Drosophila melanogaster: one gene and its partner. The protein of the gene in region 1 interacts with the protein of each later gene in a biochemical or structural test. Each region holds a gene or a part of one and is shown on either strand. Other genes may lie near its edges. The genes, in order: Pdp and Mad.

Region 1 (9,028 bases):
TTTCAAGTTTTAAGTATATGTATAGCTTTTCCTTTCGTATTTGTGTATGTGGAGTTATGTGTTGTATGAGTTAGGAGCGCAGAATCTCGGCTACGTATACCTCGTGTGACTGGCTATCAATTATAGGGGCGAAGTAAACATAATTTGGAAAGAGGGGTTCAAACTCAATCTTCACTAATTACCGTGAGTCACCGAACTAAATATTAACTTAAAAGCGATTAACTATATGTAATTAGAAAAAAAACGCATTGTGTAAATATACGTAACTGTTTTGGTTTTTTAGCTAAACTAGACGATTAAACAAGATTAAAGAGTCAACAAATTGGTGTTTAGGGGGGAAAAGGAGTACTGGTGGGTCATACGATACAAATCAATGTACATAAACAGTATTGAAAATAATAGACAATGAGGTCGGGGTGAATCAACAACATGATGACTTTTCCGGCTCTGCTACGACGAGATTAAAGTCCAGACTATTGGGTCGCGAAAAGCCAGACTTGATGCCGTCCCATCCATCCTCCGCCTTATATTCGCCGGATCGAATGCGGGCGTACACCTCCTGGGTGACCATGCGAAATGCCTCCTCCACATTGGCACCAGACCGGGCCGATGTCTCAACGAAATGCAGACCGTGCTGTTTGGCAAATTTTTGTGCCTCCTCTGTGGTCACCTCCCGGTGTCCGCCCGCATTGATGAGGTCCAGTTTGCAGCCGACCAATGCGAAAACGGGGCGGTGGGGCTCAATGTGACGCTGTGCCTCCATCATCCACAGCGGTATGTGCTCGAAGCTGGCGTGATTCGATATGTCGTAGACCAGCAGCACGCCAACCGAGTTCCGGTAGTAGGACTTGGTGATCGAACGGAAGCGCTCTTGGCCAGCAGTGTCCCACAGCTGGAGCTTGATCTGTGTGCCGTCCTTCATTTCGATGAGGCGGGCAAAGAAGTCGACGCCAACTGTGGGATCGGATAACTGCAAAATGTAAATATTGTGTTATTTATGATTAGGTGGATTCTTGGGAGGCAGTAAAAAGAAACGCAGTTTAGAGCTGTAATGCTTTTGAGAACACTTTTGATTCCACACAATTCATGATATCTCTATGTTTTTAAATTTCCCGCGCAGTTATTTGAGTATCCCTGGTCCTATTTTGGACTTGTGTGTTGTTTTTGCTGCCTGCATTATCAGGCGAGCACACAAACATGCACACCAGCACACACACACACTGACAAGGTGACTAAGGCAGCATCTTTTTAAAATCCACTCCCTTTGTCTATTTTTTGTTGTATCTCGCCCAATGCAATCACTTAATTATGTAATGAACGCATTAACTGCATCTCACGAAGATCGCACAGTGGGCCAAGCGTCCAAGTACAGTGGCCAAAATCGTTGGACATACGCACCTCGGCGAATTTGCCGTCTGTGAAGAATTTGAGCAGCGAGCTCTTGCCCACGGTGCTGTCGCCGATTAAAATCAGTCGAAATTGATACTCGAAAATGGGTTCCACCATTCCGAAGCCGAATTCGAGGGATTTGTCTCTTGGAATTGAATCCGCAGCAAAAAATCTGCCTTCCCTTTGTAAAGTTTGATACGCAAATCGTTGATTTGCTTATGCTGCTCGTTTTTCTTCTTATTTCCTGCAGTTGTATTGCAAATCGAAACTTTCTGTTCTTCACACGATTACTGGCTTTGCAATGAGATATTTCCGGCTGTCGCTGGTGGTTGTTAAATTATAAATATTCGAGAATTCAAATTCCTTCGAATTTTGTTTTGTTTTGTGTTTTTTTCTCATATGCGTGCGCGTGTGTGTGATAATGACAACGTTGCCAGACCAGCAAAAGTAATCGATAGTAGCCACAATGAAATTATTTCATTACCATTATTAAACAGTTATATCTTCTAAATTATTTAATAAAAATAGTGTCCTCACATCAATTTGGCAGTTTTCAGATTTTTTAACAAGCTTAGATGTATTTTTCGGCGGTACACAAAAACTAGCTAGACTTGGCTTGAAAACGGTAACCGGCTAATGGCAACACCGCCAGTCTGGCACCGCCGCCCAATAGAGATGGTCAAAGAACGCGATTTCGCGTGACACGATGAATGCATACAAATGTAGTTAGTTTAAATTGTTCTGAGAAAATATGACAAAAAAAATAAAATAATCTTTCATATTAAGCTAATAAATTTACAATAATTACACAAAAAGATTTGGCCTTGTACAGTGCTTTGACACATAAATTAAGACGTGCGTGTTCATTTTCGTTCTAGGCTGTCTCGTGCAGAGAAAAACCCATCGCTAGTACGCACTGTATTTTCTTTTTACGTTTGTTTTCCGTGAACACCGTCCGCTTCGTATTTCACAGCACACAAATGTACAAACAAGCCGCCGGCCAATCAAAAGCAACAGCGGAAAATAAGATCCCTTTGTCAGCAACCGGCAACCGGAGTCGGTGAATCAGCCGGAGGCTCCGGGATACGGAATCCACCACGTTCTCCTCCATCTTCTTTGCCTACTCCTCCCCCGATTTGGTTACGGAACCAATATCATTACCGTTAATTATAGCCACAGCGGGGCGAGAGCATATACAAAATCTCCATATAGATGTTCAAGTTCGTGCTGAACGACGCCGCCAGCTACGTGCGATCCAATGTGCGGGAGTTCAGTTTGAATGCACTGCGTCTGCTGCCGCAACTGCCTCAATTGAGTCCATACGATGTAAGATTTGGGGTTCCTGGCAAGTGTCATTAGCAAGCTGGGCAGGGTTCGTAAAATGTAATCAGTTTGTAAGATCTTCGATCGAAAGTACTTCTTTACTTATTAATTATTTTGGATTTTTCCTATTGAAGCTACTTTTAGAAACCACAAATCTATGCATTACATCCCTAAGCCGTTTAAAAATTTAACTATAAAGCCTGCATAATTTTCTGAAGATCCAATAACTACTTTCAAGGGCTTTCAAGAAAGTCCCGAGTGTTTTCCTATAAACAAAGTGAACGACGTCGACCCGACTGTATTCGATTTTCCATATTCATATTTCAACTACAGCAACCATTTATAATGCCTTTACTGAGCAGTTAATTTCATTTGATCGTTTGCACTGGACAAGAGTCCATACCAAGCGGCTTAAGAACAAAATTTTTAGGAACCGAATAAGAATTAACTGATTAATAACTATTACCATGGGAACCTTTGTAATTCCCACATAAAGAGTAAGAATCTGTATTAATGTAAACTATTTTCACAGGTTAACCTTGTTCTGAGGGAGAACGAGTTCGTTTACAACTTTCCCGTGGATGGAGTCATCCGCAGCTATGAAACAAATCAGCTGGGATCAAACTGGCCCTGCGAGGATTCCCGCACGGAGGCCAGCTTCCTGCACCGCAACGGCTTCATTTGTGGCATTTTCGACGGGCATGCGGGAGCAGCATGTGGCCAAGTGGTGTCCAAGCGACTGCTTCGCTATGTTTCGGCGGCCACGCTGCCGCGCCAGGTGCTCCGGGAGCAGATGAAGCAGGGTGCCGACAGCCAGTCGTTCCTCAAGTGCCACAATGACAACGTGGACTTTGTTAGCATGATCAAGCCCATGTACGAGGCTAGTTTCCTCAAGTATGTCAATCAATTGTTAGAGACACCGCAACGGGATGTATCCAGTGAACTGGTGAACGCCTTCCTCCAGCTGGATGAAGAGATCTCGCAGGAGGCTCTGACCAGCAACGATGTACGCACCATGAACGTGGCCCTTTCTGGTGGGTGATGTATCCATTTATTTATGTATATAAGTTGCCATCCCGTTTCATACTTTCCTCTTCATAGGGGCTTCATTTCTAAACTATAAATGTGTTTATTTTCCAGGAGCCGTTGCCTGTTTGGTTCACATTGAGGGACTGCAGATGCACGTGGCCAGCACGGGTGATTGTGGCGCAGTGTTGGGCGTTCTTGATCCCCAGACGCAGCAGTGGCACTCAAAGAAGCTTAACATCGAACACAATGCTGACAATATGTCCGAGGTGCGTCGCATTCTGGCCGAGCATCCCAAGGAGGAGCATGAGACGGTGATCCGAAACGGCAGGCTGCTTAGCCAGCTGGCGCCGTTGCGTGCCTTTGGGGACTTTCGCTACAAGTGGTCCCAGGAAATAATGCAGCAGAAGGTGCTGCCGATGTTCGGCGTGCAGGCAATGGCGCCGAATTACTATACGCCACCGTACCTAACCGCCCGCCCCGATGTCCAGCAGCACGAATTGGGGCCCAACGACAAGTTTCTAGTCATCGCCAGCGACGGCCTATGGGATTTCCTTCCGCCCAGCGAGGTGGTCAGCTTGGTGGGGGAGCACATCAACTCCAAAAAGATCCTCGAACCGATGCGCCTGCCGGAAGGCGATACAACGCTGCAGGAAATCTCTCAGCAGCTGGCCGAAAGAAAGTCAGTTATCCTTTAAATGTATGCTTGTTATTTATTTATTTATTAATTACGCTTTTATTGCATTGCAGGGCTGGCCTCACTCGCAAACCCGTAGACCAAAACGCGGCCACGCATCTCATCCGGCATGCTTTGGGCGGCACCGACTATGGGATTGAGCACTCGAAGATCTCGTACTATTTGACGCTGCCCAGGGACGCGGTGCGTCTGTATCGCGACGACATCACAATCACTGTCATCTACTTTAACTCGGAGCACATTGCCAAGCTGCACAGCGATGTGGATCAAACGGAGGTCACTGCGCCGGTAGCATGATCTCTGCGAGAGTGCATATGTGTATATTTAACGAGCCTAACCTTCAGCCGAACTAGCCTAAGTGTTGCGTTTAAGTTTGTTTCATCCGCCATCGGACCTCGGACGACTGCTGCGCCAAATAAATCGCACGCGGAAAGCGAAAAATCACATATGCAAATTGTCTTGTTATTCATAAAGAGCGATGATCGGTCGTCTCATTTGTTAATAAAATAAAAATGACATGAAAATCCCAGCAAATATGTATATATCAAGGGTTATAAGCAATCAAGAAGGTTTCTTCATATATTTATTTCTCAAATAGTTCGTGATTTTGTAAAGTAGATACTATTTTTTCTTTTAAAGCAAGTACTTATATTAATTTTTGCTGTTTAAAATTTACAAGCAATTCGTAATGTATATAATCTAATTCAATTTAAAACTTCTTATTCTATAATTTACGCCAATTTTCTTGTTTTCAATTTAGTTCGGTCTATAAAACGGGGGGGAAACCAGGATAATCCTAAGACTTAGGTATAGATCATCTGTTGCAAACAAGCTATTCAACTTTAAGAATTTCGAATTGTGTAGTTTTCGAGAATCGATTTATTTTCTTTTATTTCCAATTACAATTGATTGTAACGCTGGCTAATATATATGTATATATATTTTTACTCGAATGGATGGTGTAGAGGGGTGAAGGATACAGGGATCCGGGGTTTCGTGGGTGGAGGATAAAGCTAATTGAAGAACGCGGAATCCACGAACTTGCAAACTGGTAAACGGTACGCATCCTAATCCTATACATGGAAAAAACTAGGCAACTACTCAGGGATCGTATTGGTTGTTTTTTGGGGAACATAACTAAAAACAGGTGTCCCTAATCCTTGCCATCCTGTTCGGCCGCTTCCTGCCGGCTGACACAGTTGAGGAACTCCATCTGAATGTGCGTAATCTGTGTCTTGCTGAAGCACTGCATCTTCTTCTTGAGAAAGTCAAAGAACAGATCGAGCTCATCACGCTTGGCCAGTGCCTGGGCCACTTGTTGCTGCTGATGCTGCTCATCCTCCTTGATGAGATTGTTAGAACTGCTGGCCGCCGCACTAACGGCCAATGGCTGGCCAGATCCGCAGTTCAAGGGGGGCATCTGAATGATCGTGGCCGTCGGCGTGGATGTGAAGGATGTGGTATTGCACAGCGCCGCTGCTGGCGTGGTAGTCACGGTAGTCGCATTCAGAGAAATGGCCGGCGTGCTTGAAATCGTCACACTGGTACTGGTCGCCTCTGTTACATCCACCAGGGAAATTTGCTGCGTTGACACTGAGGAATCATGACGATTGGTTGATCCACCGCCCCCAGCCGCAGGAGACGTGGTTGTTACCAGCGTGAGATTCTTTACCTTGCCATCGGTTACCACAGTCCCACCGGTTAGGACACTATTTGAGCCATTGCCCGATCCACCGCTGGCCGAGAACTGATGCTGGCTGGAGCGAACTGTCTGTGGCTCAATGTCCGATATGCAAAATTCGTGTGTATCGATGTAATGGAAACCCTTGCCGTGGGTAACATCGCTACCGCCGTCCACGGCGTCACCCACACCAATTTCGCAATCCACATGGGCACCGCTGGCCTCCTCGTACAGGCACACCTCTTCGTAGTCCACCTCGGCGCCGGTTGCCCCGTCCTCGTCCAGTTCGTGCTTCACAATATCCAGCTGACCGTCGTGGTCGACCACATCATCTTCGTCATCGACATCATCGACCACATCGTCATCGTGGGCAATCTGGGAGAGCTCAATGCTGGAGATGCTGCCGTCGTGCTGCGACTGATGATGATGGTGGTGGTGGTGGTGGTGCGGCTGGTGATGATGCTCCTGCTGGTGATGGCCATGATGATGGTGATGGTGGTGCTGCGATACAGTGTCATCCGAGACGCCCTCCTCGTAGGCGGTCAGGATGAAGGTTTCCGCCTCATCGCTGACCAGGGTGATCTGCGAGGTGCCGTGATGTGAGGAGAGCGTGGCGGTATCGTGATCCGATTGCCCGTCATCGTCCATCACCTCGTCGTCGTCATCGTCCACATGCTGTTTCAAATGCAGCATAGCTCCAATGGGCAATGTGGTACTATTCGCGCCTCCAATGCCTCCACCGGCGCCGGCAACCCCACTCGTCTCATAGGTGATCTGTGTGTTCCGGTGCGATTTCAGTTTCGGCTGGTACACCTTCGACAGGAAGTCCAGCTCCTTGGCGTAGCGCCACTTGGATAGCCGCCCTTCGATGTACTTGGGCGTGCGCAGACGGTACTGGTGGAAAGTGTCCCGCAGGTTCTTCCACTTACGACGCACCTCCTGCACCGTGTACTTGTCTGGAAGAAAGAAAGAGGTAGTATAAATATGAGCGGGGTTTCAAAGGAATCGTATTCCTTTTACAGATAATTGATACAAGCTAGAACCTCTTCAAAGGCATCACATTTATGAAAACGTTTCTAAGTAACGATGAAATTATGAGTTGTGTTATAGTAGCCGGCGCCAGAACACTAGCCTATCAATACAATATGCATGTGGTATTTAAAACCAACTTTAGCGGAAGCTTATATTAATTCTGGAAGAAGGCTAATAGTCGGACATGAAGCAGGCCATGACTAGCACTCACTTCCTATCTGCTGGGCCACCTCCTGCCATCCGTTGAGGACATCGGAGCGGCGTCGCTGGTTCGGCTGCAGTTTGTAGTTGTAGAGAACCGGATTCTGGCGCACCAGGTTGATCAGCGTAAGGATGTCGTCCGTGGGCGCGTTGTCCTTGTGGTAGCGCTTGCGCTCTTGCGTCGACGAGGACATGTTGCTTCAGCTTCTGTGGGTTTCCACTGTTGTGCTCTCCCAAATCCTGATGATCCTTATCCCGATACCAATGCTGCTCCTCACATTCAGGTGTTTTGTTTTTGTTTACCCACGAAAAGAGAGGCTTTCGTTCTCGTCGAAATGCACGCACAAACACATACACAAGCGCACTTGAACGGAGCCAAACACCAGCTTATGTAGGTGTAGGAACACGCACGCACACACTCTCGCACACTCGATGCAAAGGATAGCGACTGTGTGCAGCAGGATCTCCTTTGTAGTCGCTACGGGGCACGAATCTCGGCAAGAATCGAGACGCCTTGTCCTTGGCGTTCAGCTCCAATTGTGCGAATTTGACTGCACTTGATGCTCTTGCTTTGCTTTTGGCTGTTTTTGCTGTTGCTTATTTCGCGCTAGGGATGACACATCGCGGAATTGGCGTTCTCTTTCGCCGTCACTGAAAAGCAAAAGTCCGTTTCCCTGTATTTATAATCCTCAATTAAAAGTTACGTTCTTATACAATTAAGTCGTATGGGAATGATGTTCTAAGGCAAACTAATTAAAGGTTTTTATTTTTTGAGTTCAGTTTTTTTACCAACACTATTAGAAATTAGACTTATATTGTATTTGTGGCCCATATAATTTTTTTTTATTATCTTTATTAATTTTTGTAACATTTACCATTCTACCAATAATAATAATACAACTATTTGTTGGCAAAATAATATTAATAACTACATGTTAAACATACAAAGTTGGCTATTACAAGCCGTGCTGATACGTGCACTATCGATAACACCGCACATGTGCAAGCCTGCGCTTATTTTTTTGTCTCCTCGCTAGCAATAAAAAACAACACAATTGTGTAGCTTCGTGTCTTGTTTTGCTCAATTTGCCGACGAATTGCATGATAATGAGCACACCGGCGAAAAATAACAATGGAACTGGACTGGAGGACGTGAATATTCCGGGTCAGGCCTATCTGCGCGAGGCCCTGACCTCCTGCACTGATCCCTTGAAGGCCATCGAGAGTTTTCAGGTTTGTTTACGTTGCACCGAAAAATGGGCGCCAAAAGTTCGGTGGGCTTATTTATCCAAATATCACCTGCCTTTTTAGCTTGAGAATGGTGTATTGCTGCCTTCACTGCGCCCCATGTTGCCTTTACTCGATTTGCACGGCGTGCGTCGACTGGACTTTCATACCTCGCTGATGGAGGAGCTGCGCGACAAGCTGATAGCTCACATCAACGAGATGGGCCAAAAGGAGCCCCGGGAGCGGGACAAGAAGCTCAAGGAGCTGCTCGTTAAGAGCTTCCCCGTCGTTCGGGTGAAGTCGCTGCGGCCCGTGGTCATGGCCATATTGAGGAATACCCAGCACATCGATGACAAGTACCTCAAAATCCTTGTAAGGGATCGGGAACTGTATGCGGACACGGATACGGAAGTTAAGCGGCAGATATGGCGTGATAATCAATCGTTGTTTGG
Region 2 (11,843 bases), on another chromosome or scaffold:
CCCTAAAAATATATATATTCCCCGCCTAACTCGCTCGTAGCCCGTAAAAGTGCCACATTGAGGGCGCGAAATTGAAGCTAAAAGAGACAAACTGCGCCAAAACTTATGAAAACGCAACTTTAAACAGCAATAAAGTGGGAAATTGCAGCGCATAAATCTCTGTCGCCGAACTGTCATGGGAATAGTTATGCTTTGGGTGGTGGGTGGTTGGAACGGGGCCTAAAGGGGCTGGCAAGGCGGCGAAGTCATGCAACAGACGGTGGAGCCAACACCCACGCAAAGTGAGCTCGTCTTGAATGAAATTAGCCCGTAACTAGAGTTTACAGTTTGGCAGCTACTGGCGATCGCTGTTGGCCAGCTTGCATACCAAATGACCGTCGTCTTAGCCACACACCGTGAACTGGCTAAAACTGATTCGATATTCCGGCGCAGTGCTCGATCGGCGCTTCATTGCCCATATAATGCTAATAATTATTGCATTTAAAATCTAATAAATTTGTGCATTGACAACGCGGAGTTGACTGGCTGGCGATGGGCAGAACCACCATTCCCAGCCGCTCCTATTTTAATGGTGTAGATATCCATCAAAGGCTGGCTAAGTGGCAGCAAAGTTGTCTTGCAACTAGTTGGATACTCTAACTTAGGGATTTCACTTCAATTTAAATGTATATGAAGTGAAGAGTTTAGAGATCAGTATTAAGTATCAACTTGCTGATCATCCATTTGTTGTTCACCTTCCTGCTGCTGAATCCCCACCAGCTTCGGATTTCTTGGCGCTCGTCTCTAGTGGATCGCCGTCCAGCTTTGACCATAATTGTGGTGCTTGTCATTGTTTGTGTCGCATTGGCAACATTGAAGTACAGACTGCCCCGTGCGTGTTAAATACATGTAATTAGCCATGTTTGTGCCATTTAATCCACTCGATAGTGGACTACTCCGCCCCAAACTGCCTGTTTTTTTTTTTTTGCTCAGAAGCCGCTTGGTCGCGCGGCGACGCTTTTCTAAGAATTCTTTTACGTTTTGTTTTGGCGCACGCATTAGGCGCCACACTGAAGCAGCACGTTTAACCCGCAGGACAGGCGGAAGGGTTAAGACTTGGCGTTGGTTTGGCGGGTAGGAAGGTAGGAGGAGAAGATGGACAGAGGGCCGAGGGGCGGGTGGAGCCATCTCGGAAACTGTGGCGCATACTCCACATATTTATGGCTATTTAAGCGAACCGAACGAATCGTGGATGCCGATGACGATGACGAACTTGCTGCTGCTGCAGTTGCTCTGCTGCACGTTGCACTTTAGGACCTTTTCCCCACCACAGACGAGTTCAGCAGAATAGTGACGAGAGGTTTGCAATAAAAGTTGCTAGTGCATTTCACATATGTGCAATTAGTTTCTGTCGCAATTTCATTTATGTTGAGGCCCGCAGTATAAAATGAGCAAGTTAGTTTGTTTTACACCAATATTTCGACTAAATAATACCCATCATTTTGGACGCAAGTGTTGCTCCTGATTCCTGCCACTGCTGCTGTGGTCCGGCAGTCATTGGCATTGATTGGCAGTTGAACACGCAACAATTGTTGCATGTTTAGGCGTCGGCAGTGACGGTGAGACGACAACAACTGCACAACAGCACAACGATGCAACAATGCAACAGAGGAGCAGTGCAACAAACACTGGGGCATAGGAACAAACATCACAGCAAAGCTGAAGACTTCAGCTACTGGCAGTTGACTTTTGTCACATGTTTAGCGAGCTTTAATTGGCATCGAAATTTGTCGACTTCTATTAGAAGAACTGCCATTCTATTTGATGTTAGGATGGAGCAGAAGACTAGAGGTGTCATCATTTTTTTGAAATTGAAGAGAAATGCTGTTTATTATTCACAGTAGTATATCCTTCTTCCAACTATGTTTGGCGCGCTTCGTTACTACTCAACTTGCATACTACTCATAAATGTGCATCAATGTTCATAAACATTGAAATTATTTCAAATCAAGATGGAACTGAAAGCTATTTATTTGAAAGTAGTGTAGACCACCCACCACCGACTGGCAATTTTTTTCATTTTTGCGGAAAAGCGGTGGTGTCCCCGTGTTGACAGCTCAATTACTCACATGACACAAAGCCTCTGCGTGGCCCCCTGCAATTATCGCGGCAATTATTTGCAATTAGAATTGAGTTAATTTACTTAAAAAAGGATTTTCTGCCGTGCCTGCGCATTTTTGCCCCTTGACGTTTGCACTTCGGCACGTGTGTGTTTTGAGTTTTCCGCTTTTGTGCAATTTGCGTGCATAAATTTTTATTGTTCCAAAGGGACTACATAATTATTTTGTTATTTTTCGTCGTTTTCACTTCTGCTTTCGAGGAGAGTGCGCTTCATTACTATTTCGATTTTACTGCGACTGTATAATGCTACCCATGTTTGCAATAAGTTCGCGTTTAGTAGTGTTAAACACGCAATAAAAGCGAAGGGAGGGAGGAGCGATCGCACATAAACATGCTCGCATTCTAAGCACACGTACAGTCCGGGCCAAGAAAATAGGTTCGCTTGACTTCAATTCAAAAGATTTCGTAACGAAAAAACTTTAGTTTCGTTGCTTTACCCATTAAAAAAAATTGGCAGTGCATTTGCGAATAGAATTTCGATTTGTTTCCGCTTATTTTCGTACCGAAAACACTCTGCCGAAGGAGGGCTTCATCGAATTTTAGGTTCAATTACTCGCCGGTCCCACGCACGAAAAAATTCGTTGACGCTGCCTTCTCTTAAACTCCTCCCCTGAAACTACGTTCCCTTCATTTTTGTTGTGGTTGCGGTGGGGTGTTTACAGTTTGATTGTGGCTGTGGGTTGACGCCACCTCCAACACCACCAAAGGCCATGCACTGCAAACAAATTAGTGTGCATCTAAAAACAGCAATGTCTATTTAATTCGAAAAAGAGTTAAGTAAAAGAGTACTCAAATGTTAAATCTTAGTTCTTCAAGTAACATTGTTATTTGAAATACAAATGTTGCATATTTTTCTCGCCGTGTGATCTGCTGCACACAAACACGTTCGCGCTCACGTGCTGGCGCCCCCAACTGCAGATAGGGCATTTGATTTGTTTAAAACAAAACTTTCGTTGCCTGTATGGGTGTAGTGGTGTGCACTTGGCTGCCCCAAACGCACACTGAAACCAATTACGAGCACAGGAATACGAATACGAATACGTCACTCAGAGGTCTTCAGAAATCAGGGCTGCGGACTAGCTGGTGATAAAGAAGGGATTCAATAGGGATACATACACTAGATTTATACTCTCTTAGGGCTACAATAAGTACATTACTAAATAGATAAATATTAAGAAAATGGAATATAATAACTCAATTTTCCAGTCTTAAACTTATTAATAACTGTAGAAAGTAGTTTGTGTTACCTTTAGATACTTTAGGATGGACCTGCTGCTTCGCATCCCTGGCGAACTCACACCGATACACAATACGAATGCAGTTTGGGCTGCGTTCAGTTCGTCACTCACTCAGTCAGTCAGTTCGTCAGTCAGTCAGTCAGTCAGTCAGTCAATCAACACTCGGCGCACTCAGTTTGCTGGGCAACCCGTTCGGCATTCGTTGTCGATCGGTCGTGTCGTGCAGTTGACTTCTGATTCGCGCTCGCTGCCATTTCCACTTTGCGTAATTTACGGCGAAAATAAAAAATAATACGGCAAAAGGCTTAAATAAATGAAGTTATTACGGTGATAACGATTGAATTGAAGACTCGCAGCGGAAATGTAACTGCTGAGGCGACTGGATTGGATGCCCGATCGTCGTGGAGGGTCGCGTTTGCGATTTGCATACGAATAAAATAACATTTTGATGCTGAATTCTTGTCCGTGTGTGTGTGTGTGTTTGTGCGTGCAATAAAAATAAATAAAATAATATCTGCAATCTCAACATCATCATGTGTAGGTTCTTAGTTCGTACATAGTTCTCGTTTGCCTCGAGTTGCTCGATTTTTGAGTTTTCCTCCTCGCATCAAATCGAAACTTTGGCCTGTTTGGTTTTGGTCTTTATCGCGCTGCGTTTTTGTGTGTGCATTGTTTGTTTATTTTTAAACATGGGTCCAAGTCCCTATTTTCTCTGTCTGTTCGTTTTTTTCTTGTTGTTTTGTTGTTATTTTTGTGGCACTAGTCGTAGTACCCTTTACCACGCTTTTTGCCCGCTTTCAATGGCAGCGGAAGTGCTTCTGTACTTCTGTACTTGTGTACTTGCCATCCATCCACCTTGATTTCTACTTCTACCTGGCTCCCATGATTTACGCCTTATTGTCACTGCCGCATTTATGATTGATTATCGATTGGAATGGTATGATACGCATGCGCGAATGCGTGCCTGCCATAAAAGTGCCTCGATATCCTCGCTCCTCCGTTTCTCCAGTTGAGTTATGATCCCTGACTAGCGATGCACTGAAAAGAAACTCACAATGGAATCACTAACCAGAAGAATGTACACAGCCGATTTGAAATGCAATTCTTCAATTTAGTTACTCTAAATATAAGACTAAAAGTAGATTCACTTTAAACCAAGAACCATCAATTGAATTTGCTTTGAAAGCAATGAAGAACTTTCCTTCGAGTGTGGTTTTCTTGAAAGCAGAAAGAAGACTGGGCCACTTTGGGCGGGTACGTTGGGTACGTGATCTCAGCTCGGGTAATATGTAATTGCGAATTACGATTATTGATCTTTAATTGATATGGGGAATGTCCCATATGATAATGGATCATAAAGGACTTATTATATTTATATTTAGTATCGTTCAACTCGAGATGCATTGAGAGACAAAACAAGAAAATCGTTTAAGTGCCTAAAGAAAGCCACTTTGTTGTTTGGAAAACCATCAAATCTCCGAATAAACATCATAAATATGTTGAATATGTTGTTATGATCGTGTAAATAAAGTTTTTATGTAATTCCTGCGAATTAATGGGGTAGTTTCCCCTTTTGAAAACCGACTGATTATGTCGAAAACCTCACCTGCAATCGAGCTTTGCACAAACAAAACGGGGGCATTATCGAAATTTGTATGCCTGCCCCACTCAAATCAATCGAATTCCACTAGAGCACCATTGCCACCTAAAAACACACGACACTAGTCAGCTGGGTAAATACGTAGGGTAGAGTTCTCTATCTCCACTAACCCCCTCGATAAGTCTGTCCGCCAAGTGTCACTCCGTTTGTATCCTGAGTTACTGAGAAGGAGAGACCATGTGAACTGGTACTCCACTGTATGTTTAATTTTGGGATTAGTTATAAGCAAAGGTGTACCATTTTCGATAAGGTACCGATTGTTTGTTCGTAATCCTAATCTTTTGGAAGAGGTTTTTAAGCTAGTTTTGGTAATCAAAATGGTTGTGTGACTTATCATTAATTTCAATATATTCTTGTAGGCTAGTGATAAAGTTAGAGCATTCTTAGAGCAATATATCTACCGCCGGAGGCTCTGGTTGACTTTGGGCAATTAGAAAAGTGACTGCCCCCAACCACTGGTCCTCGTTGACCACGCCCCCTTCCATGGGCGACAACATAAAATTGTCAATGCTGCGAAAAAAAAAAGAAAACGGCAACGCCCCAAAATTTTTAGGCCCGAGTTGAGCGAGAAAATCGAAATTAATTCACGCAACGGCTAATTTGGCCAGAAATATGCGCCATTTGGTCTGTCGGGAGCCCAATCGAGAGGTGTTTTCTTGTTGTCCAAGTGCTGCACTTGTTGATTTATCGCCGGCATTTAATTGCTTTTGAAATTGGATTTACCAGCCCGTTTGCTTGCCACAAAAATGGGTGGTTCGCCTAGCAAGTTCGCCTTGTGTGGCTCGCCGATTTTTGCTCCAGCTTGCACAAATTAATTGCTACTACAAATTTTCATTCAATTAGGTTTTGTCACTTTTAAATTTAATCAAACATTTTTTGACACCTTGAGTAAAGCAACGAGATTGAGGCTAAGACAGCCAACTGGAGCGCAGCCACTTGGCCAACGGAGAGAAGTTCCTCAGAAATGCTGTTAACATTGAAATGTCATAATTCAAATGGAATTGTTGTCTTTGGTGGGGAAAAGTATGGAGGGGGGGGGGCGTAGAAAACAGGGGGGAATACCCACAATTGTGGCGCTGACAAGTCGAACACCATTTGGTTATCATTTGCGCTCATTATGAGATGCAGTTCTCGCCACTCGACTCGAATATTACTGCAGTACAGTGGAGCCTAACTAAATAGAATGAAGACAGTGGGTTTTTATTGCTATAGTTTAGTTTTTTCTGTTGATAAACCAATTTCTTAATGCCAATTTTCTAAGAATCGATAAGGCAGCCCGAAAACCAGCACATGAAACTATTATCTGTGCTTCATAAATTTACCTATTATTCATATATTTTTGCAGAATTGTTGTGTTCGAAAACTAATACTATTTATAACGTTGAAAAGTGCGAACTCTTTTCGTTCGCAACCTTTGTGGTTTTTTGGAATTCAAAGAACTGTCAGACCTCAAAAATACCCCCCTTACAATAGAATCGTTTCACAATTGACGTCAGCTGCGATTGAATACGAACAATAACCATATTTAATAGATAAAAATAAGTTTCCAACGAAATCGAGATTCGATTAATCAGCTAGTTGGTTAAGTGAAGCAATAATGGCCATTATTCTCAATGAGAAAATGTTGCAGGCAATTTGCATGCAATTGGCCGCCAACATTGAAAGTGGGAGGAGTCCGTTCATGACAGGAACCTCCCAACGACTTCATTCACTAGCCAGAAACACGATGCACTGCCAGGCCCCATGGATACTCACTCCTCCTCCAATTTCTGCTGGGCACTTGGCCAAGCGGGTAAAGACACTCGAAGAAAAAGGGTCACATAAGTTGCTGACTTCCCCTTTTGTTACGTATAAACATTTGCTTGAATTAGATGCAAAGTTTTCTATAACATTTCTCTCAGTGCATTCGAATTTTGCATGCGTTGTGTTGTGGGCGTTGCTGAGACAATCTAAGCTCGATGATGAATGCCTGCAATTCTATTTGTATTTATTATTTATATTTGCTTTTTACTTGCTCTTTTCACAGACTATCCGCCCGCTGATAGTTATACCGGTTATCGGGTGACTCCACCCCAAATCAACGGCGGCACCACCACCACCACCACCATCAGCAGCGGCAGCAGCAACAACAACAACATCCACCACATCAACAATAACAATAACCACATCTGCAGCAGTGGCAGCAGCAACAACCTCAATTTGACGACAGCAATCAGCGGCAGCAGCAACAGAATGGACACCGACGATGTGGAATCGAACACAAGCAGCGCGATGTCCACACTGGGCTCGCTATTCTCCTTCACATCGCCGGCGGTGAAGAAGCTGCTGGGCTGGAAACAGGGTGACGAAGAGGAGAAGTGGGCGGAGAAGGCCGTCGACAGTCTGGTGAAGAAGTTGAAGAAGCGCAAGGGCGCCATCGAGGAGCTGGAGCGTGCGCTCTCCTGTCCCGGTCAGCCCTCGAAGTGTGTCACCATTCCACGCTCGCTGGACGGACGATTACAGGTGGGTCACAAGCCACATGGCCAGCTAAGTAACAGATGATTATTAACTCCTATTTCCGAATATCAGGTCTCCCATCGCAAGGGTCTGCCGCATGTGATCTACTGCCGCGTGTGGCGCTGGCCAGATCTGCAGTCGCACCACGAACTGAAGCCACTCGAGCTGTGCCAGTATCCGTTCAGCGCCAAGCAGAAGGAGGTGTGCATCAATCCGTATCACTATAAGCGCGTGGAGAGTCCGGTGCTCCCGCCAGTACTCGTTCCTCGCCACTCGGAATTCGCGCCCGGTCACTCGATGCTGCAGTTCAACCATGTGGCCGAGCCCAGTATGCCGCACAATGTGAGCTACTCGAACAGTGGATTCAACTCGCACAGCTTGAGCACCAGCAACACATCGGTGGGCAGTCCGAGTTCCGTCAACTCCAATCCCAATTCGCCGTACGACAGCTTGGCGGGAACACCGCCACCCGCCTACAGTCCCTCGGAGGATGGCAACTCCAACAATCCGAACGACGGTGGCCAGCTGCTGGATGCTCAGATGGGCGATGTTGCCCAGGTTAGCTATTCGGAGCCCGCCTTCTGGGCGTCGATAGCCTACTACGAGCTAAATTGCCGCGTGGGCGAGGTGTTCCACTGCAACAACAACTCCGTGATCGTTGACGGTTTCACGAATCCTTCCAACAACTCGGACCGCTGCTGTCTCGGCCAGCTGAGCAACGTGAACAGGAATAGCACCATCGAGAACACACGCCGTCATATAGGTGAGTCGATTTTAGCACTTAAATTAACTTACTCACAGAGATTTCCCATCAGCAACTATCTTAAAGTGGTTAATAACTAAGATTACACATTGGTAATCTTAAATTAGAAAGCGACTTGTGTTTATCAGTTATAAAAATAGGCATTGAGTAGAGTAGAAAGCTATGGACTTCAAGAATCCAACTACCTGTCTTTTTAACTCAAAATGTTTCTTCTTCCCCAGGCAAGGGTGTTCATTTATACTATGTGACCGGCGAGGTCTACGCCGAATGCCTATCCGACTCCGCCATTTTCGTGCAGTCGCGCAACTGCAACTACCACCACGGATTCCATCCGAGCACCGTGTGCAAAATACCGCCGGGCTGCTCGCTGAAGATCTTCAACAATCAGGAATTTGCTCAGCTGCTGTCGCAGTCGGTGAACAATGGATTCGAGGCCGTCTACGAGCTGACAAAGATGTGCACGATCCGGATGTCGTTCGTGAAGGGCTGGGGTGCGGAGTATCATCGCCAGGATGTGACCTCGACGCCCTGTTGGATTGAAATCCATCTGCACGGGCCGCTCCAGTGGCTGGACAAGGTGCTCACCCAAATGGGCTCTCCGCATAATGCAATTAGTTCGGTATCCTAAGCTTAAGATGAGGCTCGAGTCCTCAATGGAGACGGAAGAGAAGGAACACAAAACCGGTAGCTAAATGATGAGTGCGTGTGAGTGAAAGCTAAGTGTGAAAAGACGTAGAGAACACAGGACAATGGAGAGAGCATAGGTCTGTAGGCCTGAGGATGGAGGTCCATGCCACTCAGTCGCAGATTTATATAGATGATGTACGGCAGCTACTCCAATACCCGCCCTTTGCCCATATTTTATAGTTTATCGTATGATTTTCTATGCGAATGTCATTCCTAACGCTAAAACAGAGTAATGAAAATGGACAGCGAGCTAAGAAACCAATTACAAAATGGTATAACTATTTACAATGATCTACATGCTATAATATTAATGATCTATGCCCATTGGCAAAACAGTTCTTGTTCAAGTCTATTTCAAGTGCTAATTATGTGTCATTGCAAAACTGCTTTAAATATAAAAACACATTGAATTAATCCTACCAACTTTAATTACATAAGGAACAAGTAACTTACGTAGGGATATGAAAACACTTATTGCAATACATTTCTTAAAATGATTTTGAAGAAGCCCTAGCTTATGTTTTATTTTTCTCATTTGCGGTTCGCCTTGGATCAACGAATTCAATGTTCAATATAGTTGATTTAAATATATATATGGTTTAACTAATTTTAAGTTGCAAACAAATCGAAAACATCAAACAAGAAAAGATACCAGCGAAATTTAAGAATGGAAAAATGCTACTGAATCAATACGTTTTCCCAGACAATGATCTTTTGTTATCTTAAGTAAAACTAATATTGTTTAGACCACGAGAAAATTGCCTTTTTATATAAATATACATGTATAACTTTACTCTAGTTATCGTAAGCTTATGATTTTCTCTGATTTTGTTTTGAATTACACTTTTGTGCGCAGAAAAATAAGTAGACGATAATAAAAAAAAAAACAAACGAAATGCTTACTTCTTAAATAAAACCTGTTTTTGACTTATGAGTTCTTTTTTTTTACTTTTTACGCTCGGATTTAAATAAGATATAAAAAGATATAATGTAAAAATAGCTGTATATTAGAGGCTTGGGCAAAACTTGGGCCTTACTAAAAAAAATTAATAATAATATTGTAATATTTGTGCCTGTTCGATATTCCACGTCGGCCTTTGATGTTGTGCGAATTGTGTGGAGCAAAGAAAAATTTAATAATGTCTTAATATCCAAGCAGCGATACTGATTACCAAACGAACAAGAAACAGAAATAGTTGCCTTGAAGTTTACTAGTTTTTGAATGCTATAAATTGCCTTAAATACGCCTTGCATGCCTCTTAATGTTAAACGTACTAATGTAATATTAAAAAATGAATTCAAATAAAAGGAAAAACATAAAACCCTGGCTTGAACTTGAGATATTTCATCATGTGGACAACATTTTTCATCAACGTTTTGAATTCGTTTATTTTTGGTTTGTTATTTCGGTTAGTTAGTTAGTGGCTAGTTGAATATTTATTCTGATTTTAGTGCGCGAGTGAATAATTTGTAGTTTCCAATATAAAAGGAACCAAATAAAGTTGGCAATGTGCAATACGTGTTTGTTTATATTATTTAAATTATATACAACTTACGTTTTAAATAATCGTTACGGAACTAGTTCAGTTCGCACGCTATCGATAGCTGAGAGTTCTGCCAGTGACATCGCTAACTGCGTTAGTTGCCCACCGCTATTGTTTTTCATCCTATCAACATGAGTGCCGTGAACGATCCGCTGGAACTTTTGACGAACAAGGGCACCCACGAGCCTTCTTTCCTCTCGCCGATATGGAATCCGATTGCCTGCGGTGTGGCCGGCGTGGGCGCGGCCATTTTCATCAACTGGGGCTTCCGTAAGCCCGTGTTTTCCGGTGAGTTTTCGCCCCGCTTCCATGTGACGTAACGATTGTTTTTGTCGCCTATAACTAACTAAATCGCAACGTATTCCAGGCATCCAGAAGCACATCGCCTTCGGAGCTATCGGCGTCGGCGCAGGAGCTTATTTCGATCAGAAGAGGAACGAGTACCTGGCCAAAAGGGACGCCGTCCTCCGGCACTACATCGAACTGCATCCCGACGATTTCCCGGTGAAGGGTAAGTGCGGCATGGATGCAAGCTAACCATTACTTACCGTTTTTGCCCCTTCCAGAACGCAAGACCTATGGCCAAGTGCTGGAGAGTTGGGTGCCAGTGCGCTAAGTGGATCTAAATCTTTGTTGTCAAACGAACGATGGAAGTAGTTAATAAAACAGCTTTAATTGTAAAACATATGAACACGAAAATGGAGCAAATGGATTGGGCATTCTATGGTTTTTTATTCGAAAGGAATTGCATGCATATTATGGACTTACAGCATATTGGCATAATGTTATGGTTTAAATTGATGGAATGTACCTAGGGCTTACATTTTTCGCAACTATTTAGTTTTGAAATAAATTTGTTAAGCTATGTTTTGGTTTGAGTCTCAGCTAGCGATTAGCGCACTTCTGTACCTGAAATTGGTGCGCGATACCCGGGAGTTATCGATTGCTCCAACGGTCCAAGTGCCATCTCCAGAAAGAGGCTTTGGCGAGCAAACGCTCTTTTGTCGCGGTGAAAAACGGATCGAACTTTTGGTAGGATGTGTCTGCGCAAAAAGTTTGTCCGCGAATAAATTACCATTTTTGAATAGCAGCCAGGAAGCTGAAAGAACGCGCTAAAAAATCAATAAAAAAATTCGAAATCCAACCAGCCAGAGATTGGATTTAAATATATATACACAAAAAATCTCTATGAAATAAACAACGTAATTTTAAGCCCAGTTTGTGTGCGTGTGTGCGTCTTCGTTTTACCGTTACAATTTACGAAAACCGAAATAAAGTGTAATCAGTGAAAAATA

The links.
Region 2: of the proteins of Pdp (region 1) and Mad, one has a biochemical effect on the other in vitro, tested with the Drosophila melanogaster proteins (one study listed by BioGRID).

What each region holds. Positions count from the first base shown.
Region 1 is NC_004354.4:7,727,706-7,736,733, reverse strand, and holds Pdp (pyruvate dehydrogenase phosphatase), read left to right. Parts: upstream 1-2,082; 5' UTR 2,083-2,601; coding exon 2,602-2,715; intron 2,716-3,244; coding exon 3,245-3,746; intron 3,747-3,852; coding exon 3,853-4,420; intron 4,421-4,488; coding exon 4,489-4,732; 3' UTR 4,733-4,955; downstream 4,956-9,028. Other genes in the region: Rab39, read right to left, coding at 422-970, 1,399-1,506; CG12155 (uncharacterized protein), read right to left, coding at 5,589-7,072, 7,360-7,543; NELF-B, read left to right, coding at 8,451-8,582, 8,661-9,028.
Region 2 is NT_033779.5:3,144,521-3,156,363, reverse strand, and holds Mad (mothers against dpp), read left to right. Parts: upstream 1-3,610; 5' UTR 3,611-3,931; coding exon 3,932-3,935; intron 3,936-7,084; coding exon 7,085-7,560; intron 7,561-7,626; coding exon 7,627-8,317; intron 8,318-8,538; coding exon 8,539-8,945; 3' UTR 8,946-10,308; downstream 10,309-11,843. Other genes in the region: ND-B14.5B (NADH dehydrogenase (ubiquinone) B14.5 B subunit), read left to right, coding at 10,680-10,836, 10,916-11,059, 11,115-11,164.